Stegostoma tigrinum: one gene and its partner. The protein of the gene in region 1 binds, or shares a complex with, the protein of each later gene. Links are inferred from orthologs where the notes say so. Each region holds a gene or a part of one and is shown on either strand. Other genes may lie near its edges.

The links.
Region 2: the proteins of neurogenic locus notch homolog protein 1-like (region 1) and poglut1 are in contact, whole or in part, in a crystal structure (PDB 5UB5), measured with the Homo sapiens proteins. The link is inferred for Stegostoma tigrinum from reciprocal best matches to the Homo sapiens genes NOTCH1 and POGLUT1. Residues at the interface, in NP_060087.3 of Homo sapiens: Asn454, Glu455, Cys456, Val457, Asn459, Pro460, Cys461, Gln462, Asn463, Asp464, Ala465, Cys467, Gly472, Glu473, Phe474, Val485, His486; in NP_689518.1 of Homo sapiens: Met103, Phe104, Pro105, Ser106, Arg107, Asp133, Gly170, Pro171, Ala172, Val173, Trp174, Pro178, Thr179, Gly180, Thr214, Asn239, Gln240, Ala241, Val274.

What each region holds. Positions count from the first base shown.
Region 1 is NC_081382.1:43,059,250-43,066,386, forward strand, and holds the start of neurogenic locus notch homolog protein 1-like, read right to left. Parts: upstream 3,152-7,137; 5' UTR 2,887-3,151; coding exon 2,838-2,886; intron 1-2,837. UniProt on the Homo sapiens protein: Functions as a receptor for membrane-bound ligands Jagged-1 (JAG1), Jagged-2 (JAG2) and Delta-1 (DLL1) to regulate cell-fate determination.
Region 2 is NC_081372.1:5,662,594-5,670,178, forward strand, and holds the start of poglut1 (protein O-glucosyltransferase 1), read right to left. Parts: upstream 3,072-7,585; 5' UTR 3,059-3,071; coding exon 2,959-3,058; intron 1-2,958. Other genes in the region: timmdc1 (complex I assembly factor TIMMDC1, mitochondrial), read right to left, coding at 6,701-6,839, 7,274-7,384. UniProt on the Homo sapiens protein: Dual specificity glycosyltransferase that catalyzes the transfer of glucose and xylose from UDP-glucose and UDP-xylose, respectively, to a serine residue found in the consensus sequence of C-X-S-X-P-C.

The DNA of each region.
Region 1 (7,137 bases):
CACTCACACACACACACACAGACAGGCACTCATACACACAGACACAGGCAGGCACTCACACACACACACAGACAGGCACTCATACACACAGACACAGAGACACATAACATTTGGTCAGAATATTGTCAACTACTGTGCATTTGTTAACAGCGGAGTAAATGAAGTTTAAAACAAAACACAGAGCAACTGGAGCAGCACACATCTTTCTGGGAGGACTAAGACATCCTTCCCATCCACATGCCCCAGCTCAATCTTAAAACCAAGTTACATTTATGTAGCCTGTTTAATGGAAGGTGTGGGTCTGTAAATGACAGAACTAGAGAGGGGGCGTGAAGGCCAGGGAGGGATTTGAAACAAAGAGGAGAATTTTATAAGAAGGTGCTGCTGGTCTTGGAGGTTTAGTGAAGGTCAGCAAACATGGGAGTTCATGGTTAATGGGACTCAGTGTGGTTTACAGCACAGGCAACACAGTTTTGCCCAGGTTCAATTTGATGAAGATATGGATGATGCAATGTCAGCCATCTAAAAATCCAGGGGTATTGTAGAATCTAGAGAATGAGGATGGAGTGAGTTTTAGAAGCTGGAAAATAGGTATTCAAGTTCTACAGCCTGGGGAATGGCGATCATGGTCCAGAGTCTGGAGAATGGGGGTGGAGGTGGAATTTGAGCTCCAGAACATGAGGGCTGGAGTTGGGTTCCAGAATCTGGGGGGACAAGGTTTGAGTTCAATGGCCTGGAGAATTGGGTCGTGTTCCAGAGTCTGGAAGATGGGATTTTGAGTCTAGACCTTGGGTATTGGGCTATGTGTGAGATATGAGTTCTAGAGCTTAGGTGGGGGAGGGGGTCTTGCAGTGAGATTTGAGTTCTAGAATTTGTGGAATAGGGGTCATGTACCAAAGTCTGGAGATTGGGATTTGAGTTCCAGAGCCTGAGAAATGGGGTATTGTGATTTACAGAGTCTGCAGCATTGGGATTACGTTCTTGGGTCTGAGTAATTTTTTAATGAAGATCTGTAGCTTGGGTTGGGGTTGGAGTTATTGGTTGGTTAGCTGAGCAAACATTTTATCTACCACTAGGTGATATCTTCAGTGCTGTCTAGCCTCCATTGTCCTGCTGTTAATTAATATGGCCTGGTCTGTCATGGTGGGTAGTCTTGTGTGTGGTTTTTTTACTGGGGTGGTATGTAGTTGGGGTCTTTTTCAGCATGTTTGTTTATCTCACCAATGGTTGGAACCTTCATGCTTGCCCTAGTAATGTAACTTTGTCCCAATTAAACTGATATCCTTTTCTGTCGGAGTGTATTGAAATGAAGGAGAGTTAGATCTAGGGTCTGAGGAATGGGGAGGAATGATGCAGAAATAAACAAAAACAGGAATTGCTGGGAAAACTCAATAGGCCTGGCAACAACAGGAAACAGTGTTAACACTTCAAGTCCAGTGACCTTTCTTCAGAACTCGGCAAGTTAATTCTGTTTCTCTCTCCACATTGCTGCCAGAGCTGCCGGGTTTCTCTAGCGATTCCTGTTTTTATTTGTTTCAGATCTTCAATGCCAAAGCTCTTTATTTTAGGGTGTCATGTCCTGGGGAATGGATTCCAGTTAGAAAGTCTATCATCTGGAGATCATTCATTTGTTCTAGAATCAGCCAGCTTGGGGGTTGTTTATGTTCCAGAGTTTGGTGAACAAGGCTCACATGAAGGGGTGGTCAGGGTCATGGTCTAGAATCTGGATAGCAGGAATTTGAATCATGTTCCAGATTCTTGGGCTTGTTGTGTTCTGGAGTTGAGTAGCTGTGTTCTAAAGACTGGGGGGATGGGTCAGGCTCATGTTCTTGGTCACAGAAGACTGGATCACATTTTAGAGACTGAGGATTGGCAATGTTCTAGAGTCTAACAGTCAGGGGAGGATCCATGTTCTAGACTGGACACTGTGGTGTGCTCTCCATTCTCGGGACCAGTGTCATGGTCTACAGACTGGGAATTGTGTGGTTCATGTCCCAGGATGAAGAGTTAGGTTCTACGATCTGGGGTTGAATATTTTGCCAAACAATGTTGAAGTAGTTTGATAATTCCTGGTGTCATAATTGTGAGCTAGCAAAATCAGAGAAGCAAAATTCAGCAGGAAAAGCCCCAGATTTCTCCATTATGGTCTCTCCTGAATATTTTTCTTTCTCTCTCCCTCGGTCTCTCTCTTTTCCCCCCACACTCTCCCTCCATTTCTCTCTCAGTCTTTCTCAATCTCTCCTTTAATGTCTCCTTTGGCCAGTCTATTTCCATCCCTCTCAGACTGTATCTCTGGCTCCCCATCAGTCTCTCTGTCTCAGTCTGTGTACTCAAGACTCTCCCTCAGTGTCATTCTCTGCCTCTCCTTCTGACTCTCTCTCCTTCCCTCTCGGTCCCCTGTGTGCAGTCAGACCACAGGGTTCAGTGCGTCAGCAACATCCTCTCACACGGAGCAGAGATGGTGAGCTGCTACTTCCACCGAGAGGGGAGCTGAAGGGCGGTTGGGAGGACAGCAGTTTGCCCGTGGTCCCTGAGCAGTGGCAGAGGGAGATGGGGTAGAGGAGTGGAAAAGGTGGGGAGGGGGGAGGAGAGGGATGGGGAAGGGATGGGGAAGGGATGGGGAGAGGAGGGAGAGAGGGCGATTGCAAGGAGAGAGGGGGACAGGACCCTCTGAGCCGAAACTTGAACGGTGGGCGCTGGAAAGTTTTAAAACTCCAGCTCCTAGCAACGGAAACCAGAGACTCTCCCAAGTCCCAATAAAAGAAACTTCCTCCCGAGTCCGAATGAGTGTGTCCTGTGTTCATTGCCCCCACCATCCCCTCCCCCAGGACTCCTACCTGAGAGAAAGGCTGGCAGTGAAATGAGACACAAACTCAGTCCAAACATTCCTCCAGTCCAAGATCAGGGAGATCTCTCTCTTTCCTTCAATCCACGAGATATTCCTTGCAGACAGATCATAAATCCAGCAGGTTAGAGAGTAACCAGCTGCCGCTGTAAATCCCGGAGCGAGCGGAGAGCGGGGCTGAGAGTTGGGAAAGTCACGGACAGACAGCAAGCGGCTCGGGATCTGCTCTAGTTCGTGGCCCGAGAGCTGGGTCGGGACGTGACACTGCACTCCACTCGGAGCTGCTCTCCTGAAAGCGGTCCCGCCCCGGACTGAGGCTTCGAGAGAGGCAGCAACTTCTCAAGGAGTCCCTCTCCCACAACAACCCGGAGGTGGGCGGGAACTCCAAGTTTGTATCAAACAGAGAATCCCTGACGCCGGGGGAGGGGGCTGTGAGCCTGGTGAGGTGTGTGTGTGTGTGTGTGTGTGGGGGGGGTGTGTGTGTGTGTGTGTGTGGGGTGTGTGTGTGTGTGTGTGGGGGGGTGATGTGTGTGTGTGGGGGGGTGATGTGTGTGTGTGGGGGGGTGATGTGTGTGTGTGTGTGGGGGGGGGATGTGTGTGTGTGGGGGGGGGATGTGTGTGTGTGGGGGGGATCTGTGAGTGTGGGGGGGGATCTGTGTGTGGGGGGGTGGTGTGTGTGTGGGGGGGTGATGGGTGTGTGTGTGTGTGGGGGGGTGATGGGTGTGTGTGTGTGTGGGGGGGGTGTGTGTGTGGGGGGGTGTGTGTGGGGGGTGTGTGTGTGTGTGGGGGGGGGTGTGTGTGGGGGGGTGATGGGTGTGTGTGTGTGTGGGGGGGTGATGGGTGTGTGTGTGTGTGTGGGGGGTGTGTGTGTGGGGGGGGGTGATGGGTGTGTGTGTGTGGGGGGATGTGTGTGTGTGGGGGGGGATGTGTGTGTGTGTGGGAGGGGGTGAGTGGGGGGGATCTGTGAGTGTGGGGGGGGATCTGTGAGTGTGGGGGGGGATCTGTGTGTGGGGGGGTGGTGTGTGTGTGGGGGGGTGATGGGTGTGTGTGTGGGGGGGTGATGGGTGTGTGTGTGTGGGGGTTGATGTGTGTGTGTGTGTGGGGGGGGTGATGTGTGGGGTGTGTGGGGGGGTGATGAGTGTGGGGGGTGATGAGTGTGGGGGGTGATGAGTGTGGGGGGTGTGTGTGTGTGTGGGGGGATGTGTGTGTGTGTGTGTGTGTGGGGGGATGTGTGTGTGTGTGTGTGTGGGGGGGGATGTGTGTGTGTGGGGGGATGTGTGTGTGTGTGTGTGTGGGGGGGGATGTGTGTGTGTGGGGGGATGTGTGTGTGTGTGTGTGGGGGTGTGTGTGTGTGGGGGGATGGGGGGTGTGTGTGTGTGGGGGTGTGTGTGTGGGGGGGATGGGGGTGTGTGTGTGTGGGGGGGGGATGGGGGTGTGTGTGTGTGGGGGTGTGTGGGGGGGTGTGTGGGGGGGGATGTGTGTGTGGGGGGGTGTGTGGGGGGGATGTGTGTGTGGGGGGGTGTGTGGGGGGGATGTGTGTGTGTGTGGGGGGGGATGTGTGTGTGTGTGTGTGTGGGGGGGGGATGTGTGTGTGTGTGGGGGGGGATGTGTGTGTGGGGTGTGTTGGGGGGAGATGAGTGTGGGGGGGTGATGAGTGTGGGGGTGTGTGTGTGTGTGGGGGGCTGTGTGTGGGGGGGTGATGTGTGTGTGTGGGGGCTGATGTGTGTGTGTGTGTTGGGGGGTGTGTGTGTGTGTGGGGGGATGTGTGTGTGTGGGGGGATGTGTGTGTGTGTGTGGGGGGGATGTGTGTGTGTGGGGGGATGTGTGTGGGGGGATGGGGGTGTGTGTGTGTGGGGGGATGGGGGTGTGTGTGTGGGGGTGTGTGTGTGTGGGGGGGGGGATGTGTGTGTGTGGGGGGGGGATGGGGGGATGTGTGTGTGGGGGGGTGTGTGGGGGGGATGTGTGTGTGTGTGTGGGGGGGTGTGTGTGTGTGGGGGGGGATGTGTGTGTGTGTGGGGGGGGATGTGTGTGTGTGTGTGTGGGGGGGATGTGTGTGTGTGTGGGGGGGGATGTGTGTGTGGGGTGTGTTGGGGGAGATGAGTGTGGGGGGGGTGATGAGTGTGGGGGTGTGTGTGTGTGTGGGGGGCTGTGTGTGGGGGGGTGATGTGTGTGTGTGTGTGGGGGCTGATGTGTGTGTGTGTGTTGGGGGGGTGTGTGTGTTGGGGGGGTGTGTGTGTGGGGGTGTGTGTGTGTGGGGGTGTGTGTTTGTGTGGGGGGGATGTGTGTTTGTGTGGGGGGGGATGTGTGTGTGTGTGGGGGGGGATGTGTGTGTGTGTGGGGGGGGATGTGTGTGTGTGGGGGGGGATGTGTGTGTGTGGGGGGGATCTGTGTGTGTATGTGTGTGTGGGGGGGGGATGTGTGTGTGTGGGGGGGGGATGTGTGTGTGTGGGGGGGGATGTGTGGGTGTGTGTGTGGGGGGGATGTGTGGGTGTGTGTGTGGGGGGTGTGTGTGTGTGTGGGGGGATGTGTGTGTGGGTGTGTGTGTGAGAGGGGGGATGTGTGTGGGTGTGTGTGTGGGAGGGGGGATGTGTGTGTGTGTGGGGGGGGACGTGTGTGTGTGTGTGGGGGGGGGACGTGTGTGTGTGTGGGGGGGGGGTGCATGTGTGGGGGGGGACGTGTGTGTGTGTGGGGGGGGGTGTGTGGGGGGGGGGATGCATGTGTGGGGGGGGACGTGTGTGTGTGTGGGGGGGGTGTGTGTGGGGGGGGGATGTGTGTGTGTGAGGGGGATCTGTGTGTGTGTATATGTGTGGGGGGGGGAATGTGTGTGTGTGGGGGGGGGAATGTGTGTGTGTGGGGGGGGGGAATGTGTGTGTGTGGGGGGGGATGTGTGTGTGTGGGGGGATGTGTGTGTGTGGGGGGGGGATGTGTGTGTGTGGGGGGGATGTGTGGGGGGGATGTGTGTGTGTGTGTGTGGGGGGTGTGTGTGTGTGTGTGGGGGGATGTGTGTGTGTGGGAGGGGGGATGTGTGTGTGTGTGTGTGTGGGTGTGTGTGTGGGAGGGGGGGTGTGTGGGTGTGTGTGTGGGAGGGGGGATGTGTGGGTGTGTGTGTGGGAGGGGGGGTGTGTGTGTGGGAGGGGGGATGTGTGTGGGGGGATGTGTGTGTGGGTGTGTGTGTGGGAGGGGGGATGTGTGTGTGTGGGGGGATGTGTGTGTGGGTGTGTGTGTGTGGGGGGATGTGTGTGTGTGTGTGTGGGGGGGGGGACGTGTGTGTGTGTGTGTGGTGTGGGGGGGGATGCATGTGTGGGGGGGATGCATGTGTGTGGGGGGGGGACGTGTGTGTGGGGGGGGACGTGTGTGTGTGGGGGGGGACGTGTGTGTGGGGGGGGGACGTGTGTGTGTGGGGGGGACGTGTGTGTGTGGGGGGATGTGTGTGTGTGTGTGGGGGGGATGTGTGTGTGTGTGGGGGGGATGTGTGTGTGTGGGGGGGGATGTGTGTGTGTGGGGGGGGATCTGTGTGTGTGTGTGGGGTGTGTGTGTGTGTGTGGGGGGGGGGATGTGTGTGTGTGGGGGGATGTGTGTGTGTGTGTGTGTGTGGGGGGGGGATGTGTGTGTGTGTGTGTGTGTGTGTGTGGGAGGGGGATGTGTGTGTGTGTGTGGGAGGGGGATGTTTGTGTGGGTGTGTGTGTGTGTGTGGGGGGGGGATGTGTGTGTGTGGGGGGTGAGTGTGTGTGGGGGGTGATGTGTGTGTGGGGGGTGATGTGTGTGTGTGGGGGGTGATGTGTGTGTGAGGGGGGTGTGTGTGTGTGAGGGGGGTGTGTGTGTGTGAGGTGGTGTGTGTGTGTGAGGGGGTGTGTGTGTGTGGGGGGGGGGATGTGTGCGTGTGTGTGTGTGAGGTGGGATGTGTGTGTGTGGGGGGGTGTGTGTGGGGGGGGTGGGGGTGTGTGTGGGGGGGTGGGGGGTGTGTGTGGGGGGGGGTGTGGGTGTGTGTGGGGGGGATGTGTGTGTGTGTGTGTGTCGGGGGGGATCTCTGTGTGTGTGTGGGGGGGATCTATGTGTGGGGGGGGATCTGTGTGTGGGGGGGGTGGTGTGTGTGGGGGGGTGGTGTGTGTGTGGGGGGGTGGTGTGTGTGTGGGGGGGGTGATGTGTGTGTGTGGGGGGGGTGATGTGTGTGTTTGTGGGGGGGGGTGATGTGTGTGTGTGGGGGGGTGATGTGTGTGGGGGTGGATGTGTGTGTGTGTGGGGGGTGATGTGTGTGTGTGGGGGGGTGATGTGTGTGTGTGTGGGGGGGGGAT
Region 2 (7,585 bases), on another chromosome or scaffold:
CACCCCATCATTCCCCCCCCAACATTCCCACCCCAATCCCTCTCCATCATTCCCCCCCCAATCCCACCCCATCATTCCCCCCCCAATCCCACCCCATCATTCCCCCCCCAATCCCACCCCATCATTCCCCCCCCCAATCCCACCCCATCATTCCCCCCCCAACGCACCCCATCATTCCCCCCCCGAATCCCACCCCATCATTCCCCCGCCGAATCCCACCCCATCATTCCCCCCCCGAATCCCACCCCATCATTCCCCCCCACAATCCCCCCCATCATTCCCCCCCCATCCCACCCCATCATTTCCCCCCCCCAACATTCCCCCCCCATCCCACCCCATCATTCCCCACCCAACATTCCCCCCCCAATCCCACCCCATCATTCCCCCCCCAATCCCACCCCATCATTCCCCCCCCAATCCCACCCCATCATTCCCCCCCAATCCCACCCCATCATTCCCCACCCAACATTCCCCCCCCCAATCCCACCCCATCATTCACCCCCCCAATCCCACCCCCATCATTCCCCCCCAACCCACCCCATCATTCACCCCCCAACATTTCCCCCCCATCATTCCACCCCCAATCCCACCCCATCATTCCCGCCCCCATCCCACCCCATCATCCCACCCCATCATTCCCCCCCGCAACATTCCCCCCCCCAATCCCACCCCATCATTCCCCCCCCAATCCCTCTCCATCATTCCCCCCCCAATCCCACCCCATCATTCCCCCCCCCAATCCCACCCCATCATTCCCCCCCCAACGCACCCCATCATTCCCCCCCCGAATCCCACCCCATCATTCCCCCCCCGAATCCCACCCCATCATTCCCCCCCACAATCCCCCCCATCATTCCCCCCCCTATCCCACCCCATCATTTCCCCCCCCAACATTCCCCCCCCAATCCCACCCCATCATTCCCCCCCCAATCCCACCCCATCATTCCCCACCCAACATTCCCCCCCATCATTCACCCCCCCAATCCCACCCCATCATTCACCCCCCCCAATCCCACCCCCATCATTCCCCCCCAACCCACCCCATCATTCACCCCCCAACATTTCCCCCCCCATCATTCCACCCCCAATCCCACCCCATCATTCCCGCCCCCATCCCACCCCATCATTCCCCCACCATCCCACCCCATCATTCCCCCCCCATCCCACCCCATCATTCGCCCCCCAACATTCCCCCCCCAACATTGTCCCCCATCATTCCCCCCCCAACATTCACCCCCCCAATCCCACCCCATCATTCCCCCCCATCTCACCCCATCATTCCCCACCGCAACATTCCCCCCCCAATCCCACCCCATCATTCCCCCCCCAACATTCCCCCCGCCCAACATTCCCACCCCAATCCCTCTCCATCATTCCCCCCCCAATCCCACCCCATCATTCCCCACCCCAATCCCACCCCATCATTCCCCCCCCCAATCCCACCCCATCATTCCCCCCCCAATCCCACCCCATCATTCCCCCCCCAATCCCACCCCATCATTCCCCCCCCCAATCCCACCCCATCATTCCCCCCCCAATCCCACCCCATCATTCCCCCCCCAATCCCACCCCATCATTCCCCCCCCCAATCCCACCCCATCATACCCCCCCCAATCCCACCCCATCATTCCCCCCCACAATCCCACCCCATCATTCCCACCCCCAATCCCACCCCATCATTCCCACCCCCAATCCCACCCCATCATTCCCACCCCCAATCCCACCCCATCATTCCCCCCCCAACATTTCCCCCCCATCATTCCACCCCAATCCCACCCTATCATTCCCCCCCAATCCCACCCCATCATTCCCCCCCGCAATCCCACCCCATCATTCCCCCCCCAATCCCGCCCCATCATTCCCCCCCCAATCCCGCCCCATCATTCCCCCCCCAACATTTCCCCCCCCAACATTTCCCGCCCCATCAGTTCCCCCCCCAATCCCACCCCATCATTCCCCCCCAATCCCACCCCATCATTCCCCCCCAACATTCTCCCCCCATCATTCCCCCCCCAATCCCACCCCATCTTCCCCCCCAATCCCACCCCATCATTCCCCACTGCAACATTCCCCCCCGCAATCCCACCCCATCATTCCCCCCCCCAACATTCCCACCCCAATCCCTCTCCATCATTCCCTCCTCCAACCCCACCCCATCATTCCCCCCCGCAAATCCCACCCGATCATTCCCACCCCCAATCCCACCCCATCATTCCCCCCCGCAAATCCCACCCGATCATTCCCACCCCATCATTCCCCCCGCAAATCCCACCCGATCATTCCCACCCCATCATTCCCCCCACCGAACATTCCCCCCCAATCCCACCCCATCATTTCCCCGCCCATCATTTCCCCCCCTCATCATTCCCCCCCCATCATCGTTCCCCCCATCATCATTCCCCCCCATCATCATCCTCCCCCCCCCATCATCATCCTCCCCCCCCATCATCATCCTCCCCCCCCATCATCATCATCCTCCCCCCCCCATCATCATCCTCCCCCCCCCATCATCATCATCCCCCCCCCATCATCATCATCCCCCCCCATCATCATCCTCCCCCCCCCATCATCATCCTCCCCCCCCATCATCATCCTCCCCCCCCCCATCATCATCATCCCCCCCATCATCATCCTCCCCCCCCATCATCATCCTCCCCCCACCCCATCATCATCCTCCCCCCCCCATCATCATCATTCCCCCCCCATCATCATCATTCCCCCCCATCATCATCATTCCCCCCCCCCATCATCATCATTCCCCCCCCCCCATCATCATCATTCCCCCCCCCCCCATCATCATCATTCCCCCCCCCCCATCATCATCATTCCCCCCCTCATCCCACGCTTTGCCTGATTTTCTTTGTCTCAAACGGCCCATGTCTGAGGAACAGAGATCCCCGATTGTGCGAGCCCCCGACTGACTGGGCGGCTCGGTTCCAAGAGACTCCCCCCTTTTACCTGCTGGGGAGCTGCGGCCGACGGCCCCCACCCTCGGGCTGCCCAAAGCCAGCGCTGCCGCCGTCAATATCAACGACAACGGCCGCCATTTCCGCGCCATGGCCTACTGCGCCTGCGCGCTGACACGCTCGTTACCATGGAGACCGCGCTGAGGCCTACTCACTGACTGCAACCAGAGACCTGGGTATTGCAGGTTCTAATTGTTTTGTCATTAAAAACACACAAAAATTGCTGGAGAAACACAGCAGCATCTGTGGAGAGGGAAACAGTACAACTCAATGACAATATGGATATACAATGGCTCAGTGATAGGAAACAGGGATTAATCGTCGATGTATTTTTTTCAGGGCAGAAGTTGGTGTGAGATTCTGGTTTTTCCTGATCATAAAATTTTGCTTTAGCCATCACGCTTGATAAAACAGGCAAAAATTACACAGCTCAAATAACAGGGGAGGCAATGGCCTAGTGGTATTATCACTGGGCTGTAATCCATAGACTCATAACATTCCGGAGGTCCGTGTACAAATCCCTCCACAGCAGATGGTGGAATTTGAATCCAATAAAACATCTGGAATTAAGAATCAAATGAGGACCATGAACCTATTGCCGATTGTCAGAAAACCCACCTGGCTCACTAACGTCCTTTGGGGAAGGAAACAGGCAGCATTGACATTATCTTCAATGTCTCGGAGAAAGAGTCGTGGGTGGGGGCCGGAACAGGACCGGAACAAGGAACATTCCACATACCCCATGAAGAGACAGGCATAACTTGCCGTTGCCTGACCTTCCAGGTGAAGCAACACTTCACTTGCACTTTCCAGAATCTAGTCTACTGCATTCACTATTCACAATGTAGTCTCCTCGACATTGGAGAAACGAAGCGTAGACTTGGCAACTACTTTGCAGAACATCCACGTTCTACTCGCAAAAAAGACACTGAACTACCCGTTTTGCCTGCCACTTCAATGCACCACCCTGTTCCCTGGCCAACATCTCTGTCTCTGACTTGCTACAGTGTTGCAGTGAAGTTCAACGCAAGCTGGAGGAACAACACTTCATTTCTGGGGACCCTACAGCCCACCGGATTCAATACTGAGTTCAATAATTTTAGGGCCTAAACTTTCCCCTGCCCCAGCCCCACACACACCAGGCTTTGTAACCACATAGCCTACTATACACACCCCTTGTTGTTAGTCACTAATGGTCCCCATTAACAACTAATCACCCTCCCAGCCTGATCGTTATCATCTCTACCTTTCCAACTATCTTTCTCTCTCTCTTCGGGCTCTATCCTATCGTTTACTTCCCACCTTACTATTTTCTGCATATAAACTGATGTTTTCCCAGCTGCTATTAATTCTGAGGAAGGGTCACCGGACCAGAAATATTAACTCTGTTTTCTCCTTCACAGATGCTGCCACACCTGCTGAGCTTTTCCTGCAACTTTGTTTTTGTTGCATTATTATTTAACTGATTTGTGTAGTAAATAAAGTATAACAGTGACATGTATCCCCTTGCATCACATTTCCATTACCTAGTGTGTGTGTTTTTACATTGATTTGTGACCTTTCGACTATCTGGAATATTTAATCAATCAGTGTACTCCTGTTCCCATACGTGTCAGATAATTATTAAAAAAAATTCTGTCATGTGTTAGATCTTGAAGTGTAGGGGACAATTTCAAAGTTTGCAGAGACACAAAACTTGAAAAAATTGTGAACTGTAAGGACAGCAGTGTAGAACTCCAAACTTGAGCTCATCAACATGAGGAATGGTTGAGGACTCTGGGTTTGTCCTCTATGGAGTTTACAGGGATGAGGGGGAGATCTCATTGAAACTTACAGAATACTGAGAGGCCTAGATCAGGTGTACCTGAAGACAACATTTTCACTAGTAGGAGAGATTAGAACCTGAGGACGCAGCCTCAGGCTGAAATGACAACCCTTCAGAACTGAGATGAGGAATTCCTTCAGCCAGAGGGTGGTAAATCCGTGGAACTCATTGCCACAGAGGGCTGTGGAAGCCAAATCATTGAGTATTTAAGAGAGGTATAGGTTCTTGATAAATAAGTGGATCAAGCACTATCGGGAGAAGGCAGGAGAATGGGGTTGAAAAAAAACATACTGGCCATGATCAAGCAGACTTGATCTTATATCTGTGTGGAGCTGGATGAACACAGCAGGCCAAGCAGCATCTCAGGAGCACAAAGATGCTGCTTGGCCTGCTGTGTTCATCCAGCTCCACACTTTTGTTATCTTGGATTCTCCAGCATCTGCAGTTCCCATTATCATTGATCTTATATCTATCTTCTTTAATAAACTTCTTAACTGTTTCCGAATGATCTTTAGACTCCTTTCAAGAGTTAGCAGATTTCAATCCTGGTGATCTCCAAACTCCCATCCCGAGTGCCTGCTTTCTGACCACACAATCCAGCTCCTTTTCTCCCGCCCATCATCTTTCTTTCAACCCTCCCAGTCTCCTCAGTTCATTCATACTACAAGTATCTATTCTGTCTCCCCAGCTGGAGACTATGAATCTCAAATTCAACAACCCATACTCAAGTGTTGACAGTTCAAATGCAAGTCATTCTTTCTGTACTGAACCGCCTCAAGTATACATACATGTTGTCTTCATTGGTTTCAGCATTGTAGAACTAGCTCTTTTCTAAATTATTGAGTGTAATCTTCAGCTCTACTTTTTCCCAAGTAGTATTTTGTGAAAGATTTGTGGTCACTCAGTCAAAATAACTCCACTTTGTGTAACCATTCCAACTCTCAAAAATAAAGATGGTTTAATAATTAAAATCATTCCTAAATCTGCTACATTGCAGAACTCTGCTGCAATATAGCACAAATTTAAGAGACTTTATTGCAACTACAAATCAGTCAGCAGTGATCAGAATTTGTCTTTCATTTACTTGGTTTTGCATATTAGTTCAGATTAACTCTTTCCTAGCACAATGACAACATTTTGGAAGATCAGAATGTGTTTTCAATACAAAACTCATGTTCTCAAATTCACGTGTGCTTCATTCGCACTGCTCACTTTTTCAACAGACTGTTTTAATGTGCGGTACAAACTTTTCTTCAGTCAGTCATTGACAGGAAGTAATGTCAAGATTTTAACCTATATTAAAAATATATCAAAACCAAAAACTAAACTCCAGTCATTGATATACAAGACAAGTGCTGGGTGGTATCAAGTCTTTAATGAACTTGTCCAGGAATGACCATGCAACAGGATTCTAATCTTGGTCATTCTGCGTGGCCATGAGAAATGGTTAGCTAATTTCTTGGGATAGGGAACTCGCAGCCAAGTTAATTTGCTGAGCAATCAGATAAGAATGAGGTTTGTTATGATTTTACTCTGTTCTTCAATTCAGCAAGAGCACATTACAACAATTCCAACATCGAAGGTGCAACTTTGATCAACTGATTTATCATTTTCAAAGACAGTACTTTTCTAAGCCTTCAAAATGTTGCAGTGAGAGAGAATATAACAAACACAAATCCATTGGACATCTTCAATATACAAGTAGTCACATATGTTCATAATTATACAAGACAGCAAATTCCAAGTATCCCAGTGCTTATCAATTCAATCCAGGAATTTACTTTGATGGACTGTTCTTTAGTAACATCAAGAACGTAATTTTCATTAGCTAGCTCAGACAATATTTTCTCAAGATGTCTACGACAGTTGGTATCATTCATATAAATTTCTTCTCAATTTCCCTGTTCAGTCAGATTTTCTCTTTAACTGAAGACTCTGGATTTCTGGGCTGATTCAACAGCTCTTCCAATTTCTCCAAATCATTTTCCACTGAATCTTTTCTGGCAATTTCATCAATTAAACCTTCTGTCACATGCAGTCTGGCTTCCCTGGGGAAATGATACATGAATGTAATAAAAACAAACATAGTGGCATTAAGAAACTGCTGATAAACAATTGTTATAGTGCAAAAGGAGCCATTTAACCCATTGTGTCCACTCTAGCTCATTTTAACTAAGTGCCAATTAGAAACCTGCACATTAACTCTGTCACTTAAATTTATGATTTCAGTGGGTGATGACTATTGAAATTACAGGAAATGCATACCAGTCTGCTTAGTGTTTGAACAGAAAGGAGAATTATTATGTTTCAGGTGGAGCGTTTCTGTTCAAAAGATCAATGACCAAAATATTAACATTTATAGGAAGAGGAAGAGAATATTTTTAAAAAATACATTATTCTTGTAAAACACTTTTCAAACATTTCTCCTCTGCTATTCTAATTTCAGCAATTTATCTATGATCATAGAATTACCACGTCATACCATTCTTCCAACTTAAGTTCATAAATCTCTCGCCGTTCTCTACGTTTACGTTCTCTGAGGGTCTCTCCACTAACTTTCTGCATTGCTAGGATCAATGCCCCAGCTGGAACCCTGAAAGACAAAAATAGTGAAATTCTTATCTAGTTGTCAGTACAAGTTATTCACAGTCGCATTCCAATAATTAACTTCAATTTAGACAAACTTTCTTGTAAGAGTCGTCTTTACATGTGTCATAGATTGATGGTTTTTTCTTTCTTCCCTGAATGGCTGATTTTCAAGTTTTAAAATATTTAATAGGGAATAAAGTACAAA